3 linked regions of the Saccharomyces cerevisiae S288C genome follow. Changing the gene in region 3 together with the main gene of any one other region gives a genetic interaction. Each region holds a gene or a part of one and is shown on either strand. Other genes may lie near its edges.

Region 1 (4,457 bases), on a different chromosome or scaffold from region 3:
CCCTGTTCAACAGTTTAGCTAATGGAGACTGTGAACCAAAATCTTGTCCAAACTTCCAAAAGGACCCTGACATATTTTTTCCTAATTATTAAATGGGCAAAACGATAAACGCCACTATTCTTAAACACTAACTAAAACGAATTTTTCAGAATCTCTAATCAACTAAAATTAGCATGTATTACCTCAAGCTAAAAATATTTAAAGATCTTAGTAAAATATATCTTTTGCGTACCTTTCCCAAATACACAAGCTAAACTACCCTTATCAAGCAGATCTGGTGAAATTTTAAACAAAAATAGTCCCGTTCGATGACTTCGAGCGATGCCCAAGCTTTTCTCATTCTCTTCGGAGTGTTTTGGCGTTAGCCGTCAATCCCTCGCAAAAAAAATTTTCTTCCCAGTTCAAAATGTAAAAAAAAAAATAAAAGGTATACGGTTACCCTTACCCTCAGTCCATCCAACCGTAGTGGTTATATAATAATACTAAGAGCACCGTTTTGTTCAAGGTTGTACTGTGTGATCTAGGTCGGCTATCCACGCAAGCATGGCATCGATCATGACCATGATTTCGTCTCCTATGGAAGGTTGAAGAAGGATCTTATTACGCAGTATATGCGTCCCCAATTCGTTGCATAGCTTTTCTAGCAGTTGCAGATTAAATATCTGGCAATAATTATAATACCTGCAATCATATGATATTTTCTTAATTAATAAACTTATTATGGTATCTGTGTCTAGTAATGTAACCTCTTGAATATTTTTTGGAGGTTGCAGGTATATTTTTAGCAGCTGCTGGCAACTTACGGGGTCGAATCGAGCTACTATGCTTGTTCTTAGACAAGCTACGGCATCTTCCCAATGCCAGGTACGCAGCATGATCAAACCCAAAAGTTCCCACTCTAATCCGCTGTGTTTTTCATCTTTATTGCTTAGGCTAATCTTGCTCAATTTCAAGTCTTGATATAAATCTAAAAATAAATCATCTAGCCACCCTTCACAAAACCTTTTCTTTCGGGATTCCATCGGTATATGACCGTTTTCATCGATAATGTTGTTAGAAGCTTGATAGAATTCAGTTTCCATCATGAAAGCTTCTGTTCGGATGTTTAATAAGCCATTCCAACCAATTTTGTTCACAATTTCCATTAATAACCCATATATTTTACCACTAAACCATCCCAATTGTTTGCCGATCGTATTCCTTGCTATTAAATTGATATTTTTTATGTTTTTGACCTCTTGAGGGGAGACATAATTAATCAGATTCACAGATTGTGGACCACAAATCGGACCCAACTTTATCGCAATATCATCCCAGATTTCCTTTGTATAACCGATTTTTTTTTCGTTTATCATTGCGATTCTTCCAAAAATTTGCCGTTTTAACTCATCCTCTTTCCAATTCCTCAACGTTCCCGAGAGATTCGTGAATTCCATTGCAGTCAAGTCGTAGTGTTCGCGGGTACCATTCAATGGCTTTTTATAATAATTGGAGGTAAGAAACCTACTGTACATTGTTTCCAGGTGTCCATCATTTTTGCGCAAACGAGGCATTGAATTTATTGCGAAGAGAGCCTTTTCATACTCCTCTTTTTTGATGTGGCATCTCGCTAGGTTGTACCAAGATTCAAAAGAGTCTAAGGCTAGTTCGGTTGATGTGTTAGAGACGCCTAATGCTAGTTCGTAATCACCCCTGTTTAACAAAAAATTTGTTTGAATGTTCAGCAAGTCACTCATGCAATTCATTAATCGTGCTGAATCAGCATCGCGAGGCGGTAAATCATTTAGCAGAGATAAAAGGGGGTCGAGCGTCTCATTTAAAATAGTTATCATGTCTAACTCCTTTGTTTCTATGTGATCTAGAATTGTGATCATAGCCGTCTTGTAGTATATGTCATGGATTGGATCTTTCTTGGTAAGTCCTTTCAGGTAGTCGATTGTAAAATCCACTAGGCTTGGCGTGATTGCAATAAAACTTTTTAAACTATACATTAAATAGTTATTGACAATGGTGGCTTGCATACTCTTGGTAGAATCCCACCCGCAATTCAGTGACCGTGGTAAGAATCGGCAGAGTAATTCTATGATCTTTTTGCAAGAGGAGATAGTATCTTTTCCAACGTAGAATGGACACTCTACTAAACCGGGAGGTTTTAACTCTGGATTAGTATTTGTTATTATCGCTCGGATGACAGAACTTGCGAACGTTTCTTCCCACATTTTTTCTGTCATGGTCAGGTCAGTGGTTTCCTTGTTACAGTCAATTGCCGTTGTCTGGAAAGTATCGTCAGCATCGTATCTAATACGGATGTCTAGATTGCTGAAAAAATTAAAACAGCAATAAGTCAATATGATATTATTCGATATATTTTTGGAAATCCGCTTACTCGATTTTAGCACTTCAAGAAACTCTACGGGCATTGCAGGACCGGAAACTTCGATCCCTGTAACGTAGAAATATTCACCAAACTCTTCTTTTTCATGTTTGTTTAAGTAGGACATGTGAACAATCTCAATGGGACCTAGTCCAACATTGCCAGAAGAAATTAAATCCTTGATTAAATGCGTTCTATTGTGCAGACACTCACCAAACTGCCTTTCCATAATTCGTGGACAACTTTTAAATATGTCTCGATTGAGGAATTGATAACCCTTTTGTACTGAAGGTGAGTTCCCAGGTGTATAATCGCCACCAGGTATTTCATTTTGCTTTTTGGTTTCCGATGGCCAAAACAAATTCATAAGGGCAATAGATGTAATCCTTTTTTGCACCAACAGCTTAAGAAAGGTGTTTGCTTTTAATGTGAGTTAAGTAATGTAATGATTTGTTAAGATCCTCTATTCCTTTTTGAGTATCTATTTATTTTCCTAAATTCTTCAAGGCTATTTTTACCATGAATCCGCTAAGATCTGTTTGGGTTCCGATTTTTCGAAGACACACAAAAATAATAGCCGGTTGCTTTCTAACACTACAGAAAGAGGTTTTTTCGAAAGAGTCTATTTCCTATATGCTAAAGTAGAGTTATGATTTCTTTATATTGAGTATGTATTGAATTATTTTCCAAAAAATCAACACCAGGTGAATACGGGGGTGGAATTGACTATTTGTAGCCGCTCTGCTATCACTGTTTTATTAGCAAATGGGTGCAGAGTGGAATCATAGTATACAGGATTACTATTGCTTTGGTTATGTGCATGAAATGGAATTGTGCTTGGGGTGCTAGGGAGTACCATTGGTGAAGTGGAATATGATCCAATAGGTTCGTCTATGGCGTTTTTGAAAATAGAAACTGGAGGTGGGCAACAGGGAACTTGCATCTTCTCATCTATTACCTGGCACCTTGTCCTTCTAACCAATTCCAAGGGGCCTTGTCGTGGGTCTTTCAATGTTTCGACAACGTTGAACGCCTGTCCTTTTAATACTGCCCATTGCTTCTTCCACATTCGGACGTTAAAATCTTGGTCCCTGCTAAATAGGGCCAAGAATTCTTGGTACGACTCTTCCCACCAATTAGTGCTTGTCAATATCGGTAGGAAATGAGATCTCATTTGCTCAGAAAATGGTTTGGCTAGTAGTTGCAGAGGCAAATACAACCAGCCATATGGGTACAGACGCCACTCATCAGGATGCTTCCAGGGAAAGGACAACCCATTGTCGATGGCGGCTAACTTGAGTCTCCACTTATTGTTTGAAAGTTTGATTAGTTTCACCATCCAATTGTCTAGACCTCTATCTGTGTTTCTCATTATATAATCAAGGATAATTAGTTTTTCTAGTTCCAATCTGAACTGACTCAAACTTGATTCTGTCCATTCAAATTTCGAATTTTCTTCAGATTCCGTCGAAATTGGAGAGGAATTTATTTGCTTGGACGGTTCTGTCTCATCTGTTAGGTTCCTGGTTGTCTCTGGTTTATGATTGATATCTTCGCCGGATGACTTACGATGAAATGAATGTTTAACATCTGAATACATCCCAGGTAATGGGTATTTATGAAAGAACTCATCGGCGTTGATGTACTCCTTCAAAAAAAGTTGGAAAGAACCCAGCTTTTTTTGTTTCTTCTTCTGAAGGTTGTATCCCAATACCCATTTTTTTCTATTATCATAAAAATTAAAAGACTCTATAGATGCAGTATCTGTATAGGGTACTAGATGCGTTTCCAGTCGCCTATCCAACAAACTAGCCGCACTTTCACAGATGTACCCGAGGTTTGGAATCAGACAACTTCTGCCAAACAGACATGGGAAAAACGTGCGGTGTGCCCATTTGGTCCATTTGGGAGAAAATGGGCCATATGGTTCCTCATCCTTGGGCTTGAAGACCCCCACCGGAACGCTTTCGTCGGCCCGTGTTCCATACACAAAGTACGACCCACTTGAGCCAGTTTGGATTCTCTCGAGTTCGCGTCCAAATGTCTCTACAGCCTCAATACAGTCAGAAACCAAATGGTTGAA
Region 2 (4,271 bases), on a different chromosome or scaffold from region 3:
CATTGGGTCTCTGGACTTAGCTATGGTATTTAGTAGATGTCGCGCTTCAGGCCAAGGGTCCGCTATCGAATCAGCCCTTATTAACACTATTGCGTTACATATTACGCACAGGTATAATAAGAGTGTTATCATAGTTTGCTTATAATATTCGGCAGGGGTTAAAGAGTCACGGTGAAATTTGAATTTCTAATCGATTGTTCTTTTTTATTTTGCTGAAGTGCGAGTTCGTTACTTGCTTACTTACTGCGATTTGCCGTTAAAGTAAAGCCCGCTGTCAACTTTTCCGAAGAAGCGCCAAGAAGGCATACAAGTCAGCAGAAGTTGAAAACTGTAAAAGAAGTACCCACGAGAAGACGGACCCCCTAGTATTAAGTTTAAATTTTTATTTCTTCCAGTTACTGCTCTACATCAATGTAAACTCGCTAATATATATATATATATATATATATATGTCGTACATGTATGTGTACCCATGACAAAAAAGTATATATAGGACAGTATCAAAGATCAATTAAGCTTACACCTTGGTCAGGAGTATATCCCTGTTGCTGCTGTTGCTGCTGCTGCTGCTGCTGTTGTTGTTGATGAGGTTGAATGTATTGTGGTTGTTGTTGATAATTTTGAGTGTATTGTGGTTGTTGTTGGAAGTTTTGGGCGTATTGAGGTTGCTGTTGTTGGAAATTTTGCATGTATTGCGGTTGTTGCTGTGGCTGTTGTTGCTGTTGTGGCTGAGAGTAGCTTATACCAGTAGGATTTTGCTGAGGAGAATTAGTAGGAGGACTTTGAGGTTGGTTACCAAACCCGTACCCTGTTTGCGTGGGCACGATATTTGTGCTTGGTAAACCAGTGTATTGGTTGCTTAAGAAAGGGTTGTTCTTGGGTTCATTAGTAACCTGTTTGTAGCCTGTACCCTGAGAATTTATAAATGTGCCTGTCTTTGTATGTTGTGCAGGAATACGTGCCTCTCCAGTGTTACCAAAAGTATCTATCCCTGTACCAGTTGCTAACAAGGTATTCAAGTCGCTGTATTTATCCGATATAGACTGGTTCCCAGTCCTTGTTTGCTTCAAGGGTTGTTGTTGCTGGAACTGGGCTTGCTGTTGTAGCAATTGGGCTTGCTGCTGTTGTAATTGGGCTTCTTCTTGCCTCTTCTGGTGTAATTGAGCTTCCTCTTGTTGTTGTCTTTGCAATTGTTGTAGCTTCAATTGTTCTTGTTGTTGTCTAGCTTCTTCTTGTTGTCTTTGCAATTGAGCATGCTGTTGCTCCTGCTTTTGTCTTTCAAGATTATCCATGGAAAACGGATTATTAGAACCTGTAGGCAAAGGTTGTTGAAAATCAGCGGGCTGTTGTTGTTGTTGTTGCATATTAGCGGCTGTTTGTTGCTGTTGCAAGGCAGAAGCGGCGGCCGCAGCTTGTTGTTGCTGCTGAAAATATTGTTGTTCAGCAAGCTGCTGTTGTTCTTGCTGCTGGTCCAGCCATCTTTGCTGAGCCATTGCTTGTTCCTGGTCCTGTTGGTACTGATACTGTAAGTATTCATCTTGGGAGATTGGATTACCGAAAATGTCGTAGTACGCTGGTTGTTGTTGTGGTTGTTGTTGTTGTAAAGGAGCTTGAAATTGAGACAGAGACTGTTGTTGCTTCTGTAATCTCTGTAGTTCCTGCAATTGCTTCAACTCCTCTTCTTCTTTACTTAGTTGTAAGGCAGCTTGGAAGTCAGGATCTTCATCGTCGTACTGGGCCAGTTCTCTTCTACGTTGTTCATCTTCTTGAGCAGTAATTCTGCTCTCCTCTAGGGCCTTTTCCAAATCGTCCTGGTAAGAGGGAGAAGAATCGTGTGGGTTGCTCCTTGTTCTTTGTCTTCTTGGCCTTGGCCTAGCAGCTCTGTTCGCCCTTCTGTTTCTTGTATTCATAGACCTCTCTTCGCGTAGCCTTTCTTCATCATTCAACAAAGAGACGAGTTCTTTAGCCTTTACTCTGATAATTTGTCCCTCGTCAAATCCGGACTCATTTTCGTGTCTGAATTCCCTTAATGTCTTAATTACGTAAAAATTCTCTCTGCACCATAGCACACAGTTCTCACTCCCGAAACGAACAAGATAGTCCAAAACGGTCAGCGATTTGGCAACGTGTCTCCAGTATTTGCCCTTATCGTTCAGCCTCTTGTCTAACATATCCATAATCTCGAAGAAGTCCACCGAATCGTAAGATCTCTGTGCCAAATCGTCGAGAGTGTCTATCGATGGAGTCCTCGAGTCGTTCGCCGTGGCATCTCTCACAAGCACTTGTGTGGATGAGTAGCCCTTCATCATGTTCTTTGCAGAACGAACAAACTGCTTAGACATTACTTACAAAACAAATACACTTAATAGGGGTGTGTCAAAATAAACAAAAGAAGATGATAAGAATTTGTGAAGGTCAAACTAGAATGTGAGCGTATTCGCAGTTGTAGGCAAAACAGAACAAAATAATTAAATAAACGAACGCCTCCTTCAACAAAGGTCAATAATGTAGCAAAATATTGGGAGTGTGTCAATCCTTGAAAGGGTCCGTAACTAAACTCTTCTTTCTTTAGTTTCCACTACTTTTTTTTTCACCCTTCGCCGCAGGGTAATTTCTTGTAGGCCATGTATATACGATTAATCGTTACACATAAAATGCGGTTTGGACAAACAATACAATGGATCGTGCGGGATACTGCCAGACTACGCTATGCTCGACTGTAGAATACTGAGTGGTGATATCGCCCCTTCGGTATTGTGATCTTGGGCGCACTTGTTTATCTAACAGGTGCGGGTGCAAGTTTACTAGAGCATCGTCGTATGATGGGGAAAGTCAGGGTGTATGTGCCCGTCGATTGAGCACCAAGACCCGTTGCCATGTGCATATGTTATTGTACCCATAGAGGCAGTCCACGTTCGGCCATCTATCTATCTTTAGATAAACGGATCATTGGCGATACCGCCTGGCCATTTGCACCTGCTCGGGGTCGGCGTTATCGGACCGTGGAATTTGAGCCATGTAACACACGGTTTCAAACATGGGCTAATGACCTTCATAAGTAGGACGATTTACACCTGAGTTGGGTGTGATGGAGCAATGGCCAGGTGCCCCTCTCGCCCTCTTGTGTTTGTATATAAGAGCAACCTCCTCATACTCTCTTGCTTAGTCTAAGGAGGAGCTATTTAACAGTGCACAATATAACACAGCATATATACACACACACACATAAAATAACCGCAAAAATGGAGGACAGTAGCAATACAATCATACCCTCACCCACTGACGTGGGGGCGCTAGCAAACAGAATCAACTTTCAAACCAGAGATGCCCACAATAAAATCAATACCTTCATGGGCATAAAGATGGCCATCGCCATGAGACATGGCTTTATATACAGACAGGGTATTCTGGCGTACTATTATGTGTTCGATGCCATCGAGCAAGAGATAGATCGCCTACTGAATGACCCCGTAACGGAGGAGGAGCTGCAAACTTCGACCATTCTGAAGCAGTTTTGGCTCGAAGATTTTAGAAGATCTACGCAGATCTATAAGGACCTGAAGCTGCTATACTCAAACACGTTTAAAAGCACAGAATCATTAAACGAATTCCTGGCTACGTTCCAGAAGCCACCGCTACTACAGCAGTTTATCAATAACATCCACGAAAACATACACAAGGAGCCATGCACCATTCTTTCTTACTGTCACGTTCTGTACTTGGCGCTTTTCGCCGGCGGCAAGCTAATACGATCGAATTTGTACAGAAGACTGGGGCTCTTCCCCAACTTCGAGAAGCTATCACAGAAGGAACTGGTCAAAAAGGGCACAAACTTCTTCACCTTCAGCGATCTGGGTCCCACTGAAGAAACACGCTTGAAATGGGAATACAAGAAGAACTATGAGCTGGCCACCAGGACGGAATTGACCGAAGCACAAAAGTTGCAGATCATTAGCGTCGCAGAAGGCATTTTTGATTGGAACTTCAACATCGTTGCAGAAATTGGAGAGTTGAATCGTCGCGAGTTAATGGGCAAGTTCAGCTTCAAGTGTATTACGTACTTGTACGAAGAATGGATGTTCAACAAGGATTCTGCTACTAGAAGAGCACTCCACACGGTCATGCTGCTGGTGCTTTCTATTATCGCGATCTGGGTTCTTTACTTCTTGGTAAAGAGTTTTCTTAGCATAGTATAACGTATAAAAAAAAAAGTCTAAATACAAACATAATATATACATGAAATAATATCAAAATATGAAGAATAGGGAAGG
Region 3 (6,377 bases):
ATCTGGTCTTTCTTCCTTCTATTTTGATTGGGTATATTTCTATTCGTGTTTCATTACTGGTCTGGGTTAATTGGGTTTTGGTTTGGTCCAGTTGTTTTCAAGTAGCCTTTATTTTTTCATTGTGGTATTTTATCTTATCGATTTATACTTTTTTTTATTCAAAGAAAATTAAACAGATAATCTCTTATGAGCCTAGCTACTTTGTTTTTTCTTACAGGGCCATTGACTTATGCCCTGAACGAGTCTTACTTTACTTTTTTTGTATTTTCAATAATGTCGTGTTTCCCATGTTGTAATACGCCCAAAGATTATGTGGTAGAGCTTTTTTTTTTTTTGGTTAGTGTATTTACCAAACTGGGATGATTTTCAAAACTTATGAAGCAGTTTCAATACATAACTGTCTAACGTAAAAATTTTATAAAATGGAAAAATAGATGATGATAACTATAACAATTTTAAAGTACAACATATTCTACTTTTAGAATAATTCACAATATACAAGGACGATCCTGGAAAAGGGTAAATATGATTCAGCTTCGAGGAAGAAGTACAAAAAGAAGACGAAATGGTCCATTACAGACTAAGCACTATCCAACAAAAAGTTAGTGGCGGCTTCTAGATCCCAGTTGCACTTTTCCAAGGCATTGTGCGCTTCTTCTTCAGTAAATCCCATGCCACTTAACTCCTCGACGGCTAGAGACTTTGGAGTAGTTGCAACCCCGCGGTTAACTATTGGACCTTTTGACAAGCTAGCATCAACGATAGGATCATTCTTCAATGGAATTGGTTGTTGTGGAATGCTTGGGGTAGCTACTTTGGTTGGTTCAGCTTTGGAGTTACCAAATCCAGCAAAAATCTCGTCCCACTCATCGTTGCTTACTTGAGCAGGGTCACTGGTTGACTGTTGTTGTACTTGTGGTTTTGGGATAGTTGGGTTAGAGGAACTAGTTAACGTCCCTGTAAAAGCGTTCATTTGTAGTTCGTCATCGAGATCCTTATGGTCTATGGTTTCAAATTGCTCCATCGACCCAGCATTCGCAACATTCTCAAATTCAGATTCCGAATCAGCACCATTATCTTCCTCCACAGCCGCTTGTTCTAACCCTGCGAATTCATCATCAAATTCGTCCTTAACAGGCAAAATGGAATTGGTGCTTGCCTTTTTTGAGTTACCTTCATTATGTGAAGGAGAAGTGCCTGGAGCGGGATATTTTATGACTTGTTCCGTGTGGATTTCCAAACTTGATGTGGGCTGGGCATTATAGGGAGTTTGAAGGGTCTTCACTGTTGCTGATGGAATTTCTCTGGTATCTTCAAACTCATCATCGTCTGAAGAGGATGAATCGCTTTCGTCAATATGCAATTCCTGAATTGGTGGAAACTCTTCATTTATTGTCTTTGCTTTTGGTTGAGCAGAGATTTTTGGAGATTCTTGGATAGAACTGACCGACTCACCGTCTTCATTTGAATTAGCCCTTTTTGTGGTACTTCCGTCTTCAATAACTTCTGTAGTTTCGTTGCTCAAAACATCAGTAGAAGCGGTAGCTGGGGTAGCTTCCCATTCACCAGGAATGTGAGATAAGTTTCCAGTATTATCTCTATTCGCAGTATTATTGATGGTGTCACGTTCTTCCAACGTTTCCGGTAGCTCAACATCATCTCTTACGGATTGAGGAGCATTGTTTGCAACAGACGATGTCAAGGATTGACTTCTTGGAATACCATATTCATTCAAATCACCATCAAACCTATCACTTAATGTTTCAGTTAAGTTTGGATTTGCTGTCTCATTTCCTGACTGGGTGCCGTTGTTTGTATTGGCATTTTCACTATCGCTTTGAGATCCCAAAGTTGGAACGTCTCTATCAAATACGTCACTTTCGGTTCTTTCTGTCTTTTCTTCATCGTCTTTAACCCGATTAACATTCAAGTTTGAATTCTCAACAGTAGTTTCGACAAATTTGGATACAGTGTCTTCGTGAACATTTCCTCTTGATGTGGCTTCTTTGGTTGTTGTATCTGTATTAGAGGCGCTTTTCGCAATAATGTCCTTAGCATCCTCAGGTAATTGTCCCATAGCTAAATTCATTTGTCTTTCGGATAACTCTCTCACATTGTTAGCGTATTCGATGTTTCTCTCCTTTAACTCTTGATCAGCTTTTTCAAAAGAAGCTTTTCTCTGTGATAGATCGTCGAACATTTCTTGCAATTTAGAAACGTGCTGATGGTAGAGATTTTCTTGTTCTTCAATTTGTCTGTTACGTTCTTCCAATTGTTTTTCACGGTCCGTTAAATCAGTATCCTTGTTGGACAGATCCTGGTATTTAGCTTGTAATTGTGCGTGTTGCTCCTCCACGGTCTTTTGGTAGTCATTTAACTCCTTTTGTTTAGTTAAGTAAACGCTTATCTTTTCGCCAAGACCATCGATTTCCTTCTGCAAGTTTGCTACTGTGACTTGATTCAACTCTAGCTGTTTTGAATTAACATCTACCATTGACCTTTCTTGCTTGACCTGTTGTTGTTTTTCATTTAATTGTGACTGTAAGGAGGCTGTCATCGAGTTCAAATTCGTAATTTGTTCTTTTAATTCTGCGTTCTTTGTTTGAGATTCTTGCAAATCAGTAGTTAGTTCATTGAGTTTGGACTCAGCGGCATGGTAGTTTGCTTCGGATACAGCCAACTGTTGCGCTAATGTTTCGTTTTCTTTGTTTACTTGAAGTACTTGTGCTTCCAGTTGTTCCGTTTGTTTAACATTTTGGTCATGGGTAGAACGTAAATTGTTCAATTTGATTTGAATGGAATTTTTCATCTCAGTAACACGTTTCAACTCCTGGGTCGCTCTTGACTTTTTGTCATTAGTTATACTTGCCTGCTTGGACAGGGAGTTTACTTGGTTAGATAAATTAGCCATTTCTGTGGTAGCATTAGATAACTGAGCAGAAGCTTCACCATCTGCAAATAAATCCTGGTTCTTGAATGCATTATTGGAAGATCTTGAAAAAGCGGATGCGCCTAAAGCAGCAGCACCCACTGCGGCGCCTACAGCAGCACCAGTGGCAGCGCTAGTGGCAGCGCCTGCTGGCATGCTAAACACAGAAAAGTTGGGAACTTGTGGCAGTGTTGTTGAAGCTGTACGTTTGACTGGACTTGAAGCATGTTTTGGAACTGGCGGAGGCTGAGCGCTAAAAGTATCACTGGATTCCCTTAGTTGCTCTTGTTCCTCTGGTTCTTCCTTGATTATACTTTGACCGAAGTTTGAGGTGGGAGTAAATTTCTTCAATCCAGAGGAGGAGTGAGTTAAAGGTGGAGGCTGCTGTGGCTGTTGTTGTTGTAATGTTGCTTGGCCATTGTTATTATCATATGAAAAACTATTATTTGTGTTGTTTTGAACCACAGTTTGTGCTTTAGTGGGAGAAGGAGAGCTGAATGAAGGGTTCAAAGCCAGTAAATCATTCAAAGAACCGTTATTTGAGTTTTGAGGAAGAACTTGTGGAACTGTTGGTTGAGTATTAACTGCTGGGGCAGAAACTTGGTGTGGCATATCCTGTAAAGAAGGCTTACTTGCTCTTGAGGGGATGGCAATTTGAGGTGCACTTTGTTGTTGAGGAAGTGGGTTTGGCGGATAAAGTCCTAAAGCGGGGGACTGTAATAATTCATTGGGGATAACATCCGGTAATTCGACACCAGCATTCTTTTTTTGAATTAAGAACATGGCAATAGCAAATTCCAATTTGGTGAATTCAGCATTGTTGTGGATGTCAGCTAAGTCCCAGATGGTGGCTAACGTCTCTTGGTTTAATCTAGAGGATAAGAAGAATGGAACCAACACAGCAGAGCTTAGCGAACCAGCATGTTGCTTATCTAATGAATCAAAAATTGCATCAAACTGTTGTTTTTTTTCAAAACTTAAAGACCAATCTGAAGCAGCATTACTGAATGCACCAGTAGATAGACGTGATATAGTAGAGTGTCTTGTTAGTGAAGATACGCCAGTGGAGTTAGCACTCAAAGGAGTAGTCCTGTTTGGTTGATTAACAACAACAGGTTCTAAACGAATAGAATCCCACAGCTGAGTAGGCAACACGGCCGGTGGTGTGTTCATACTAGGATGATGAGACATACATAGTTGGATCAAATACATGGCCATTATAAACTCAGATTTGTCTAAGACACCGGATGCGTCTCTATCACAAAGAGCCCAAATTTCACCTAAAGTTTGATTTGGTAATCTTGCCTTTAAAAATATATCCTTGGCTTTATCACCAGCAACAGTTTGAGCACCCTTTGCTGTCCTATCAAACAGTTGTGAAAATTTAGCAATATCATTTGAGGATAAGGCAGGAATATCAGTGTTGTTTGTATTGCCGGTTGCACTACCGCTTTGCATAGGGGCTGGGTTCTGATTTATAGAAAAAGAAGCCAGTTGAGTAGGTGTGCTCTCATATAGGGCAGCGGAAATTGGTTGGTTGGGAGCATTTTGCAATTGAGCGATCATTCTCAAAGCAGCCGAAAACTCGTTCAAGTTCAAAAACCCTTTATTGTCTATATCGACGGTAGCCCACACTTGCGATAGTAATTGCCCTGGAAGACCAGAAGACGCGAAGAGCGGTCTGACTGCCTCGCCAGTGACCACCCCGAGATCTTCCGTATCCAATTGGTGAAATTTCTGATTATAAAAGGCTTGTTCCTGAGAGGATAATGGAGTTCTAAAAGTAATAGATGCCATGGCCTATATCGTTCGAATCCTATTGAAAACACACAGATAAAAACAGGAAAAAAGATAGATCTAGAGCTTCACGAATCTATTTATTAGTTTCAACGCGCTATATTATTTCGCGAGAACCAGTAATTCTCTATTTAAAAGCACTCTATTGCCTATCACAAAGTGCTCTGTTGTGTGTTGTTTTCAATGTGCTTCTGAAAAGGGGTTTGTAATAGTTGAAGATTTTGATTATAGGAGAAATCTAATCCCCCTCCGAAGCGCCGACGGGTAATGATTGTGTAGTTTTTCATTTCGCGATCAAAAGCATGTATTTTGACACAGCTAACAATACCTATTATCATTTTTTGTTGGTGTTCTCATCGATTGTCAAAGCACAATAAAAAGCTATGAGCTCGACGATGTTGGATGATGTGGATAATAATATGATGGGTATCAAGTCTATCAGCCTTTATGAATTACTTAGCGATGTGGTGAAACAGGGCGACAAGACGCGATTGGTGACGGCGGGTCCCGAGCAAGTTTTGCCTGATTTAATCCGGCATATCACTGAAACAATACCGTTTGACCTATTTATAAACCTTAAGAATGAAATGAACGATGCGAGAAATCTCGTTACTAGATTAAATTGGCTGGGTAAGTTTCTGAATGATAATTTTTTACAAAATCATACATTTCCATTCACAATACTTCGGATATGCGAATTGTGTTATGATCCTTTCAAATATTACAAGATCAATGAATTGGAGAAGTTTGTAAATGCGCTAGAAAAATGTTGCATGGTAACTAGCAGTTGGCAGGTTTTTGATAAAACACACGGTGAGAAGCAAGAGGACGATAAGGAGAAAGATATTAACTTCATCAAGAATCAAGAAGATGTCTCACTAATGAAGATACCGTGGATGACCGAAAACAATACTAGGGAGTTGGCACCCTTTATTAGAGAAATCGACTCTATAATGAGTGTCAACCTAGGCTACGATGACGAGGATGAAGAGGAAGGATTTTTTGATGGTGATGAAGATAGGGAGATGGGGAATAAGAGTAAGCGTAATGTTTTGCTGAAAGATGAAAATTTCATGGTGGAAGAATACTATGAGGATGATTGCGGGATAAACGATGATAATAGCGATAATAAAGGACAAAATTGTCAGAGCGATGTTACGAAGAATAATAGCGATGATGAAGATGACGATGACAACGACGACGATTATCGTGAAGATGGTGCAGATGAAGATGATGAGGATGATGATCACATGGGCAGCACAGATGACGATGAAGATGATGACGAAGATAGGCAGGCGGGCGAAAGTACCAAGGTGCAAAATTTTGACAAGAAAAATGAAACTCCAAGGAAGAGGAAGCCCACAGATTTAGATAACTTTGAATATGACGAATCACCATCATTCACAAACATGGATCTCACGACGCCAAAGAAATATAAACATACCGCAACGGGCAGGTTCTCCATAATAGAGTCGCCATCGTCTTCGCTCCTCAATGCCATGGACGGCAGTAATGAGATCTCATCGAGCCAGGAGGAGGAGAAAGAGGATGCTCATGAAAACCATGAGGGTAGAAGTGAAGGACTGTTACCAGGTGACGAATTAGTGAGTCCATCGATGAGCTCTTCACAAGAGGATAAGATGGTTGCGAT

What was found. Genes that interact genetically often act in the same process or in processes that back each other up.
Region 1: mutations in EDE1 (region 3) and CHS6 together harm fitness more than expected from each alone (negative genetic interaction), as found in Saccharomyces cerevisiae (3 studies listed by BioGRID).
Region 2: mutations in EDE1 (region 3) and ENT2 together harm fitness more than expected from each alone (negative genetic interaction), as found in Saccharomyces cerevisiae (4 studies listed by BioGRID, with this or other methods).

Annotation. Positions count from the first base shown.
Region 1 is NC_001142.9:237,698-242,154, reverse strand, and holds CHS6 (Chs6p), read right to left. Parts: upstream 2,742-4,457; coding exon 501-2,741; downstream 1-500. Other genes in the region: SAP185 (Sap185p), read right to left, coding at 1-73; 1-phosphatidylinositol 4-kinase LSB6, read right to left, coding at 3,069-4,457. UniProt on the Saccharomyces cerevisiae protein: Member of the CHS5-ARF1P-binding proteins (CHAPS) which mediates export of specific cargo proteins, including chitin synthase CHS3.
Region 2 is NC_001144.5:552,649-556,919, reverse strand, and holds ENT2 (epsin), read right to left. Parts: upstream 2,343-4,271; coding exon 501-2,342; downstream 1-500. Other genes in the region: ubiquitin ligase complex subunit HRD3, read right to left, coding at 1-132; HMX1 (Hmx1p), read left to right, coding at 3,243-4,196. UniProt on the Saccharomyces cerevisiae protein: Binds to membranes enriched in phosphatidylinositol 3,5-bisphosphate (PtdIns(3,5)P2) and phosphatidylinositol 4,5-bisphosphate (PtdIns(4,5)P2). Required for endocytosis and localization of actin.
Region 3 is NC_001134.8:127,315-133,691, forward strand, and holds EDE1 (Ede1p), read right to left. Parts: upstream 4,727-6,377; coding exon 581-4,726; downstream 1-580. Other genes in the region: RRT1 (Rrt1p), read left to right, coding at 1-296; PSY4 (Psy4p), read left to right, coding at 5,110-6,377. UniProt on the Saccharomyces cerevisiae protein: Functions at the internalization step of the clathrin-mediated endocytosis (CME) as an early-acting scaffold protein. Requires clathrin adapter proteins, ENT1/2 and YAP1801/2, for normal spatiotemporal dynamics and viability.